3 linked regions of the Mus musculus genome follow. The protein of the gene in region 3 binds, or shares a complex with, the protein of the main gene of each other region. Links are inferred from orthologs where the notes say so. Each region holds a gene or a part of one and is shown on either strand. Other genes may lie near its edges.

What was found. The genes of interacting proteins can lie anywhere in the genome.
Region 1: Nfkbia (region 3) and Chuk share a complex: the UniProt entries of both Homo sapiens proteins name them as parts of the 70-90 kDa complex. The link is inferred for Mus musculus from reciprocal best matches to the Homo sapiens genes NFKBIA and CHUK.
Region 2: the proteins of Nfkbia (region 3) and Nfkb1 are in contact, whole or in part, in a crystal structure (PDB 1NFI), measured with the Homo sapiens proteins. The link is inferred for Mus musculus from reciprocal best matches to the Homo sapiens genes NFKBIA and NFKB1. Residues at the interface, in NP_065390.1 of Homo sapiens: Asn108, Asn109, Leu110, Gln111, Arg140, Tyr181, Pro214, Cys215, Asn216, Arg218, Tyr248, Gln249; in NP_001158884.1 of Homo sapiens: Lys251, Ile252, Val253, Arg254, Met255, Asp256, Arg257, Thr258, Ala259, Pro326, Lys345, Leu348, Tyr350, Ile353.

The regions. Positions count from the first base shown.
Region 1 is NC_000085.6:44,072,739-44,076,527, forward strand, and holds the end of Chuk (inhibitor of nuclear factor kappa-B kinase subunit alpha), read right to left. Parts: exon of another isoform or gene 3,028-3,789; intron 2,793-3,027; coding exon 2,693-2,792; intron 1,803-2,692; coding exon 1,773-1,802; 3' UTR 596-1,772; downstream 1-595.
Region 2 is NC_000069.6:135,593,953-135,597,597, forward strand, and holds part of Nfkb1 (nuclear factor NF-kappa-B p105 subunit), read right to left. Parts: intron 1,115-3,645; coding exon 913-1,114; intron 427-912; coding exon 257-426; intron 1-256.
Region 3 is NC_000078.6:55,489,752-55,493,961, forward strand, and holds the start of Nfkbia (NF-kappa-B inhibitor alpha), read right to left. Parts: upstream 2,897-4,210; 5' UTR 2,776-2,896; coding exon 2,549-2,775; intron 2,028-2,548; coding exon 1,919-2,027; intron 1,580-1,918; coding exon 1,369-1,579; intron 1,109-1,368; coding exon 1,020-1,108; intron 916-1,019; coding exon 655-915; intron 219-654; coding exon 171-218; 3' UTR 1-170. UniProt on the Homo sapiens protein: Inhibits the activity of dimeric NF-kappa-B/REL complexes by trapping REL (RELA/p65 and NFKB1/p50) dimers in the cytoplasm by masking their nuclear localization signals.

The DNA.
Region 1 (3,789 bases), on a different chromosome or scaffold from region 3:
AAACCCAAAGATAAAGACAACTCAGCTTCAGGTGCAAGGAGAATGGCAGCATAATAAAATGGGATGGGAGGAGTGTATAATCGGTGTAAATGATGAGTCTTAATGTTTTTAGACACATAGAGTAGTACTAGTACGTCCTAGGTAAAAACATTACAGTAAGGAAGTTCCTTAACTCTTCCCAGTAAGTCTATTTAATTCTAGAAGGAAGTACACGGTTGGGGACATGACTTGATCAGTAAAGTATATGATTTGTAGGTAGGAGGATCTGAGTCTGGTTCCTCAGAATGCATGTAAAATGCCAGGCATGGTGGAAGCCACCTGTAGTGGCAAAGACAAGAAGACCCTGTGACTCACAGTCCACCCAACCTACCTTAATTGATAAGCTCCAGGCCACTGATATACTCTCAAAAAGTAGGGCAATATTCCTGAAGACTATCCCCACAGTTGTCCTCTGGCTTCCACACATGTGCGCACACACAAATAACAAAGGATAAAAAAATCTATCCTGTCACTAGTGCTCCTAACCTATCACATGACCCTTTACATTTTCTCAAACCATATTAGCCTATGGTATTAAAATGAGTAGAGATTCAAAATAATTTTAAAATCATTTAATATGCAAAGTGAAAAACTAGAATATAAAAGCATTTCACATTTTTTCAAACAAAATAACATCTTCTAAGTTATTTAACATAAGGCAGAGAACCGCAGTCTTTTATCTGAAACCCTTAAGTCTAGATGTTTCAGAATGAGAACTGTTCAGATTTTAGAAAGGTAATTCAGTGCATACGCCACACTACATCAACCTTCAAGAGAGCCTGTGGCAGCACATCCCAATAATCAAACACATAAATCAATGAATATTCACACTAAATGGGATAAGCAGATCCAGTGTCAGATCAGAATAGATACCTTGTTTTCAGAACTTGGATTCTGAGACTGTAATTACAGATAAAGGAATGCAGACCCTTTGGAATTTGTATGACAAGACATAAAAGATTGTTTAAACAAGTAACCCATTTTTACAAATGCAAAAACAATACAACCTTCAAATACATTATAAATTAACAGGCATCTTCTCTTTGATATTATTAAATGTACACCTTAAATACATATACATATAGCACACAACACAATTCATTATGGTCAGCTGATATCAAAGGCACAAAAGTCCAACCCCTTACACAGGAAAAGGACTCTATTAAATGTGTGATTAAAGATGGGATTCATCTGACTCCATGTGATGCCATGAAGAACACTTGCTGAGAGCAACACAAGGAGGCTGGGCTTAGTCTTCAGGAAGAGCAATTTTACTTGTCAGCAGTCTCTTCCACAGAAAACCCATAGATAAAACTTTACTTCAAATGAACACTGGGTGAATTTTTCATTCCTGTATACTAATACCATGTTGGGCCTTATGCCGAAAATTTAGGCCTTTAGAAGATTATCTTTTTCATCAGCTAAACTAGTAGTAGTATTTTTCCAATTTTATAAGATAAGCAGGTCACTAATGATCTCCCTCATTAGTTGCGGTGTTAAAAAGAATAATTAATTTCACTAATTTGCTATAAAATTCTATCTGTTCAGAGATCATAATTATTAGAAACAAACAAAACACCAAGCTACTGTGCTTGTAAAGTCACTCGTAGTTTCCGATCACAGCCATCTCCTCACGGACTGGTAAGTGAGGAATGGCTTCAGCAAGTAAAGATGACTTTGGAGTAAATGACAAAACAGCTTCGTAGGCTCCAGGACAGTAAACGAGTGTCGAGTCATTCTGCTAACCAACTCCAATCAAGACTCTAAAAGCAGGCATGCAAAGTCACAATTAGCAGTTATCTGAATGTAGAGTTCACTTTTAAAAATTTTTTTAATGTTTGGACATTTTATATTCAAAATTCAAAAAGTTAAAACTACAGAAGTTAGAGTTTGAATTTAGCTTACTTTATCTTCTGGGAACTCAAAAAGTATTTAAAGTTATTTTAAAATCCGAGTCAAATACTCTTAAGTGGAAAGACAAAGAGTTGTATCAAAACTAAATGCAGTGAATTTGCTAAGATTTTAGAGTAGCTTCTCCCAGTTTTAACAAATCAATAGTTCAAAGCAACTAAATCTTGATTCAGCCTCTTTTATTATTAGCTTAATCGATCTTATATGCATCAAATACAGTAATTACAGAGTAAAACTATCAGCTTACTGAAAAAAATGTATTGCTGAAGCAAAGGGGTACATGCATTCACACTGCGAAGAAAGGTTAATCTGACTGTTGACGCTGCTGGGGATGCTCACTGTCGACACAATGCTACCACACAGGACAGTTAGTTTTGCAGAGTCGACGTAACCTAGAATCACCTCAGAGGAGACTGCCAAGGACAGCTGGGATGAGCCTGATTTCCTTAACTGATGTGCAAACCATCCGGCCTAAAAGTTGGCAGCACCGTGCCGAGGGCTGAGCCCTGTATTATACTATGAAAAGGCGAGCTGAGTACTGCCAGGAATGCAGACGCTCATTCCTCTACACTCCTGACTGACTGTAGCTGTTACGTCTACCTACTTCAAGTTCCTGCCTTGACTTCCTCATAATGGTGGTCTGTAGTCTATAATTATAAGCAGAAGAAACCTTTCTCCCCTACGCTGCTTTTTGTAAGGCTAATTGATCACAGTAACAGAAGTTACTCCACACAAAACTTACCATCAAACTACTGCTCTGGTCCTCATTTGCTTCACGAATAATAGTACTTAAATGGCCAAGACAGTTCAGATTTTCTTCTATCATTTGTGCTAACGTCTCTCTGACAGATGAAAGAACAAAACCATTTCAAGTTCAGCAAAGGAGCCCCTGAGTGTTGCCTCCTTTCTGATCTTCTAAGTCAGGATGACCACTTTCTGTGACCAAGCACCCCAGCAAAGCAGCTGCTGCTGTCTTCAGTTTCTTCATCCCTCCCACTCAGAGACAGCACCCCACTTCACCTAAGCCCCTGTATCTGCCTACTCTGGGGAGTCCACTGTAACTCTAATCAGATTTTCTTTTGAAAGAGGTGGCACTGGTAGCAGCCTCCCGCCCTCCCTGCTAACAAGTACCAGATTAGGGGAAGGTCCCTTGGTATTGACAAACGGAATACATTTTTGCTTGTTTGTTTCTGGATTGCTTTCTTTTTCTTTTACAGACAGTAAAACACCAGCATGTTCACTTCACACACAAACACAGGGGAAGAGTCAAAGTGCAGTCCGGTCTCCAGAGATCCAGGAAAGAAACACTGGTTCGAAACCACAGACAGTAGCAATGAAAACAAGCAAGCCGACCGATGAAGACAGCAGATGAAACCATGAACAACAAGTATCCCTGGTTTCTTGTATGTGAAGGTGGCCTTGACTCTAGCTTCTCCCTTCATGTTTCCTCTTCCATATGTCCTCTGCCATCATCCTTCACCAGCCCTCAGTCCCTCCTTTATCACACTGTAAGCCATATATAACATCCACTGTTAGCTTAAAACTAAGTACTGATTTAGAAAATATCATGCTAACAACTTCCTAATCCTTGGTTATGAAGTACCAGCGGTACATTATAATTAAGATCAGCTTTCGTTTATCAGAACATGTATCTTTTGATAAAGATATGCTGTTGGAAACAACCGCAGACTCAGACTGGAAGTTTCCTAGAGAGCTGAGGATTAGTATGTACTAAACTTTACTTCCTTCAGCTCTAACGGAGAATCTTCTCAAGTCTGTAGAATCCCACTCTCCACTCTACTTGTTTACATGCTCATCCTGGGCCACACAGTTAGTGAG
Region 2 (3,645 bases), on a different chromosome or scaffold from region 3:
AAGAGTTAGCAGGGGCTCTCTCCTCCACTGTCTACCTCCACATCTCCGTTGCACCTCAGGTTACATCATTCACCCAACTGCTATACTGGGCTGGCTCTGTCACTGGCATCCCCAGGTTGAGAGCTGGGCTGGAGCTGGGGATGCAGAAAGCAGACAGTGGAATACTGACAGCGAGCTGGCCCTAGAGTCATTCTTTGAAAAGACTTCCCTAAAACTTCCAGGGGGATTTAGGTCAAGATCACAAGTACGCCTTTACCTCCAGAAGCAGGCAGCCAGCCAAGGAGATGTTGTCGTACTCCACGGCCAGGTGCAGCGCTGTGCGCCCAGACTTCTGCTCCTGAGCATTGACTTCTGCCCCGGCAGCCACCAGCAGCAGCAGACATGGCAGGCTATTGCTCATCACAGCTATGTGGATGGCATTTAGACCTAAGGCCGAACAAAGGCAGAGATGTGGGTGAGACTGACAGAGCTGGGCTGCGGGGAGGAGGGACACCACCAGGTCGCAGCACTTCCGGTTTCTGTTCAGGGCGTGCTTCAAAGCCTCAGACGGTCCACTGTTCTACTTTCAGAAGCCACAAGCTCCCACTGTGTTCTCGGGAGACACTGAGCTACTATGTAAACGTTCTCCACACACACACACACACACACACACACACACACACACACACACGATGCTTTATAAAGACTAATGTTTGCTCGGGCTTGCTTTTCCACTTACTAAGCAATACTCACAAATACTCTTTAAGGGCGTTTGCTGTAATAAACAGCAGAAATAACCACAAGATATGACAAACTCCAGCTGGCTGAGGAGAGTATTCATGGTGAAAGTCATGTCAGATGCATTTGTCAAATGCCAAGCCCTTATGCTGCAGCCGAGAGGGGACGGTTAGCCAGCAAGGCGACTGCTCTTACCTTCCCCATTGGGGTGGTCGATAAGGGGCGCTGCTTTTCTGCTCTTGAGCAGGATGCTGAGGATTCTGTCGTGTCCTTCTTTGGCAGCTAGGTGCAGGACAGAGTTGCCCCAGCGGTCCAGAAGGCTCAGGTCAGCCCCAACCCTCAGCAAATCCTCTACTACATCTTCCTGCTTGGTGATCACGGCCAAGTGCAGAGGTGTCTACACAGAGAAGGAGAGGGAGAGCCATTGCTTAGGGATGTCTGTAGCCCCTGGCTTCAGGCTACGTTATGGAGTCATACTGTAGGGACATTTGTCACTCAAGGAGCTTCCTGTTCTGCATGCCAGGCTCAAAGGCCCACGGAGAGAACCAGCATTCAACAGTCGGGGTTATGGGATACGTTTGCTACATGATTTTTTTTAACTCTTGTAGAAGAAAATTTAATTTCTCTGAATTTCTGATAGGTATCTATCTATAGCTGGTAATTCTATACATTTGCAAATCGAACCAATGCTGTGTTTTTAACAACAAAACATAAATAGACTATTAAAAGAAAGCAATCAAGAAAGATGTCATCCTTCCACAATGGTCTGGAAGTACATAGGCTAAACCAGAACACACTGCTGCAGGCTGGCTTCAAGAGACGCACAGATACAAGCTCCACTGTAATACTATCACAGGTGCTACCAGATCCTCAGGGCATAGTTAGCCAATACAGCACTCTCCCTAAGAAAGTTCAGGCAGAAAACAATCCCAGGCACTGTGCATAATAGGCTCTGGGAGGTCTTTCTGACTACCCTGACCTCAAAGCTGTGCTTCCATGGTTGTAAGTAGGACGCATGGAAAACTGTTTTCAGAAACAAGTGGGGCTAACCCAATCACAAAAGTGTCTGTCAAAAAGCTGAGATCACTGGTAGAGAGTAGCACCAACTCTCAATGCCAGCCAGTCTGTGTTGTAGGCGCTTTACACTGAAGCCCAGGCTGTGTAGTGAGGACTTGCCCGACCTCCCATTCAGGGAGTTCTTCCTGCTGGGAAGCAGTGGCTGGTGGGCCACCAACACCCAAGGGTTACATTTTACACACGCATAAAATGCGTGCCTCAAGGAATCCCTAGAATCCATCTGTGGAGCTCAGGGCTCACACTGCCCTTGAAACCCACTTGTGGCACCCATGGGTACAGTGCAGGTGCTCACTGCAGTGCACAGCCTGTGGACAGTGAGCAGCTAGTTAGGGGACATGACAGCATTCTCTTCAGGAGCAATGAGAACAAACCAGCTGTCTATGAAACTAAAGGATAAACAGCGTGAAGACCCAAGACAGGGACACAGTACAATGCTACATACACATCCACAAGCACATGGATTGACCATTCATTCATTCATTCATTCACTCTGCTTAGAAACAGTCTTGCTTTCTGCCCAGGCTACATTGGAACATCTATATTCAAGGACTCTTCCTGCCTTAGCTACCTGAATAACAGGAACTAAAACACAATACCACCATGTTCAGCTTAGGAAAAAAAAAATCTTACAGAGCTATCCATGCATATGAGTACATACAAATATTGAGATCTGATTAGAATCTGTTGCAATTCCTAATTGTATTATTGTGTTAAGTAGGATGTAACTGCTGGGGGAACTTAGGAGGTAAGCGTCTGGTTCAATCTCAGGAAATATACAGGTCCTCTCAGTTGAATTTTGCAAAAATTATGAATTGAGAAAGTATTTTAAATCGAAACTTAAAGGGAAAGGCTGATGTGGGATAGGAAATGTATGTATAAAACCGTGTGGAGTGCATGTGAGCACACTAAAGAATACATGTCTTCCCAGAGCAGCTGTCTGTAGCCAACACTGGAAGAGCACTCTTCCTGTATACATGCAACAGTCACATCTGGAAATAGGGAGCTGTCGGATCTCCCTATGCCTCCAGAGCTGGCTCCACTGTGCTGCCCAAAGGGCAGGACCCACTCTCCCATACACTACAGCCTGTGAGTGAGGGGCAGGGCCAGTTCTCCTGCTCTCACACCCTCAGGGCTGCTCACTGTGCTCCCTCCACGAGGGTCCTCTCTACTCTGCAGCACAGGCTAGATGCAAGGCCTGCTCTCGAAAGCCTGTGAAGGACAGGGCTAGCTCACCCCCTTGCATGACCCCAGGCCAGCTCTCCTGACTGCCTGCACAGGTAGTGAGAGGCGAGGTGGAGGAAGGCATCACCCCTGCACCCAGGCTACCTCATAGCAGACAAGTGGCAGATTGCATTTTTAACCATCACAAGTATAAGAATAAACTGAAGAAGAGGAAGTTGCTACTTCCCAATCCTCTTTGCAAAACCTGCTTCCCTCGGCTGCTGGAGGTTGGATTCAGGAAGCCCTGCTGGCTGTTGGTGATAGGATCTGCGGAAGCAGGCTCTATTGTGTGCGACCCAGCTCTTTGTGGATGGAACCTCTCCCCTGAGCTCAAGGCAAAGCTGCTCTGATTTGGAGCCCTCAGACCTTTCTCCCCAGTTTTTCCCACCTTGGCTTCACTCAGTTAATGGGCACAAACATTCCCTGCCATACCAGCTTCTTAGCCTCAAGGACATAGACAGGCAGCGTTTGTGATTCTCATAACTTTTGGGTTTCTTTGTTTGGCTTTGTGGAGTTGTTTTGCTTTGTTTTGTTTGAGAGAGGGTCTTCCTGTGTTTGAGGCTGGCCCAGAACTTGCTGTGTAGCCCAGATTGACATGAAGCTGTCAGTCCTCCTGTGTCTTCTTGGGTG
Region 3 (4,210 bases):
GACAACAGCCGAATCACCCCAGTAAAATGCCTGGGTCTAGGCGCTGTGTGGTGTGGTGCTAAGTATACCCTTTCTCATTTTTTTTCTTTTTCTTTTTTTTTTTTTTTTTAGAAAAATAAAACTCTATTTGTACAAATATACAAGTCCACATTCTTTTTGCCACTTTCCACTTATAATGTCAGACGCTGGCCTCCAAACACACAGTCATCATAGGGCAGCTAAAACAAGAGAGGGGAAAAAGACATATTAAATTCCTAGAACTTCACCAAGACATTGGGATAAGGGGAGAGCTGCTGCTGAAATAACTCCTATTCTTGGGCTCTTTTTCTCCTTAACCCAAATAGAACAAGGGCACCAGGCTGTAGGAGTTTCCCTTACCTATTCTTTCCTTAAAAAAAAAAAAAGTCTAAGCTATTGAGGGGGTGGAGCTTAATGGTTGAACGTGTGCTTATCACCATGTGCTAAGGCCTGGGTTCAATTTCTAGAATTCCCTCATTCCTCAACCCAAAAGGGTAAGCTCTTAAAACAAACCAGAGACAAATTCTTGGGATCCTGGCTTTGCAAGCCGAGTCTGAGAAGTTAAACAACTGAAATCCCTCTGATCCAAAGCAGCCCTAGAACAGCCGTCAGCGTGCTGAGGGGAGGAACACTCACCTCATCCTCTGTGAATTCTGACTCCGTGTCATAGCTCTCCTCATCCTCGCTCTCGGGTAGCATCTGGAGATTTTCCAGGGTCAGCTGGCCCAGCTGCTGCTGTATCCGGGTACTTGGGCGGCCCCAGGTAAGCTGGTAGGGGGAGTAGCCTTGGTAGGTTACCCTGTTGACATCAGCCCCACATTTCAACAAGAGCGAAACCAGGTCAGGATTCTGCAGGTCCACCGCAAGGTGGAGGGCTGTCCGGCCATTGCAGGGCTCCTGAAACCAAAAGCAATCAGGCGTTAGTTTACGGCTGCATCTGGAAACCTGCTCACCATCAGAGCCAGCCCAACAGAGATTAGGTGGAAGGGAGATGTACTCACCTGAGCGTTGACATCAGCACCCAAAGTCACCAAGTGCTCCACGATGGCCAGGTAGCCGTGGATAGAGGCTAGGTGCAGACACGTGTGGCCTGGAGGAGGAAGACAAAAACTGTAACTACGTGTTTCAATCCTCACACAACTCATGTCTATTGTCTTGAGGACAACCACAAACATCATCAGTTTTGAAGAACTCAGAATCTGGGTTCTGAGTGAATATCATATAGGCATCGAGGAGAAAACTTTTTAAAAAGATCACAGTGTCTGAACTTTGTATACGTTCGGAGTTTAAGACTCAAGTGGCCCCATCTCTCTCCCTCCTCTGCATCCTTGGATGGACTGGCAGACCTACCATTGTAGTTGGTGGCCTGCAGGACGGAGTGGAGATGCTGGGGTGTGCAGGTCTGCGTCAAGACTGCTACACTGGCCAGGCAGCCCTGCTCACAGGCAAGATGTAGAGGGGTATTTCCTCGAAAGTCTCGGAGCTCAGGATCACAGCCAGCTTTCAGAAGTGCCTCAGCAATTCCTGGCTGGTTGGTGATCACAGCCAAGTGGAGTGGAGTCTACAAATGGAAGAGGAAACAGAAAGGGATAAGCCATGGAGCAAACCCATAGTCTTGAGTTTCCTGAACCCCAGACACCTCCCGCTATGGAATCTGATCCTCCCATTTGTCTCTTAGGAGATCAGGCAAACAGGAGGCCCTAGGTGGGTCATAAAGACCTCACTAAACCCAAGGGATTTTTCTTCTGGTTCTAAGACGTTGGCTGATTTGAATGCAAAAGGCCAAGGCAGATAAGAACTAAGTGACTATTAATTTAGAAACGCTTTGGGGGCGACCGTGCTACATCTGACTCCACCAAGGGGTCAAAGAGGGCACCCGCGGGGCAAGCAAGCAGCGCACCTGCTGCAGGTTGTTCTGGAAGTTGAGGAAGGCCAGGTCTCCCTTCACCTGACCAATGACTTCCATGGTCAGCGGCTTCTCTTCGTGGATGATTGCCAAGTGCAGGAACCTGAGGGATGACAGGGAAACCCCCCGAGGGGTGGTGAGCACACTGCGTGGGGGGGGGGGAGGCGCGGGCTGGAGGTGGGGTTGGAGGGGGGATTGCGCAAGGCCGGGGTTTCTGGAGGCCGCGGCCGCGGTGTTTTCCGCGAGGTTATTATGAGCTGAGTGTTCCTGGCAGCCGCCCAGGGACTTTCCGTGCCCCACCCCCTCCGGGCGGGCGCCGGCCAGACCGGCCCGCCCTCCGCCGCCCGGAACGCCCTGTACTTCCCCTCGCGGCCGCGCGGCGCCCGGCGGCTGCGCGCCACCGCTGCCAGGCCGGGACTTTGCGTCCTCGCCGCCGCTGCCGCCCCGCCCCCCCCGGCCTGCGCTCGGCGACTCCGGGTCCGGGGACAGGGGAGGAGGGGGAGGGGGGAAGACAGGCGGCCCGCCGCAGCCCCGGCGCCCCGCAACCCCGGCGCCCTCGCCGTGCAGAACCCCGAGCGCGCTGCAGGCCCCGCGCGACCCCCACCGGTGCCCGGCGCCACTTACGAGTCTCCGTCCTCCGTGAGCTGCTGCTTCCAGGGCTCGGCGGCCAGCGGCGCCTCCTGCGGCTGCAGGCGGATCTCCCGCAGCTCCTTCACCATTTGCTCGTACTCCTCGTCCTTCATGGAGTCCAGGCCGCTGTCGTGGCGATCGTCCACCAAGCGCTCCTTCTTGAGGCCATCCCGCGGGCCCTCCATGGCCCAGTCCTGGCCGTGCCCAGCTGGCTGAAACATGGCTGTGCGGGGCTGAGCGGGTGCAGGCTGCAGGCTGCTGGCGGCTGGCTGGCGAGGTCTGACTGTTGTGGGCTCGGCAGCGCCGCCGCGGCGCCCTATAAACGCTGGCAGGGGATTTCTCAGGGGCGGGGTCAGGCGCGGGGAATTTCCAAGCCAGTCAGACTAGAAAAAGAACTGGCTCGTCCTCCACTGAGAAGCCTAAACCCAGGGCCGGGGTTCATCGGAGAAACTCCCTGCGATGAGCCACTGGGGTCATGCACAGGGAACTTTTTGATGAGCCCTGAGTGGCTGGAAAGTCCTCCCGACCAGGCCCCCTCCCTCTAGGTACTTCCCTGCAGCCTGCACTCAGTAACCCCAGCCCTCTGCAAGAACCCTTCTTTCCCTGGGGTTTCCCACCGGGCGATTTTGGTTTGGGGTCCCAAGCTGCGCAGCTTCCAAGGACGCAGACCTGCTAGGCTGTTCCTCTTAGCGATTTGCCAGTTTGCAGGTCTTTTCCGGTTTTTGATCTTTTTGAAAACCCAAGAGTGGAAACGCTGGCTAGGTGCAGGGATTCGCTTCTCCTAAATTTCTGCGACGACGGACATATGAGTGGTTCCGGGGCCGGCTGTGTTTTGTCTGTTCCAGGCCCTTTGCAATGCAGGGACATTTGGCTGTCCTTCACTCCTACTCCATGAAGCTGTAAAAACTTTGGCATTAAAACAAACAAAACCACCACCACCACCAACAAAAACCAAGAGCTTGGAGAACCCCTAGATTATTTCCTAGGGGTCAATAATCTTGCCCCCCCCCCCGGGGGAGGGGCAAATCCTAGCTCCGTATGGGAACCACATTTTTCCCCAAGTAATGCAAGCTGTTAATCTTAGTAGAAGTTGTAGTTTCCTTGCAACCGCAACTGTTGCGTTCTTGCTGTCGGAGTTAACTTGTTGCAGAGAATGAAGCCGGAGCTTATTGTGAATGCCTAGCAGAGCAATTGACTTAGTGCCCTAGCCAAGGCTGGCCTCTCAAACATAGCTAAAAAAGTAACTGTGAGGTATCCTGCAGGAGGCTCAAGATAGTCCTAACACAGACCCCATCTGAAACCTGCTGCTTCTATCAGCTTCCTTGCTCCCAAGGGACCGCGGCATTATGGGTAGCTGCTCCCCCAAGAAAGGGATTTGGGCCTGTGAGCCTCTAGTTTAACCGGCAAAAGTACAAATGTTACTTCCACCCCACCCCTACTTAGGGAAAATTAAAGCAACGTGGATCAGAGTTTGTCAGACCAGATCCAGGAGGCCTCTCTAGTTCTGCATAGATTTCTGGTGAGATGTGAATGATCTTTTTCTTAATGAGCCTTATGTCAGCTTTCCTCTCTTTGGAATTCCAGCGCCTCCCCCTGAGTATGCATGTGAAGACACTGAGGGAAAAGATTCAAAATCCAGGAAAAACCAAAAAGCCT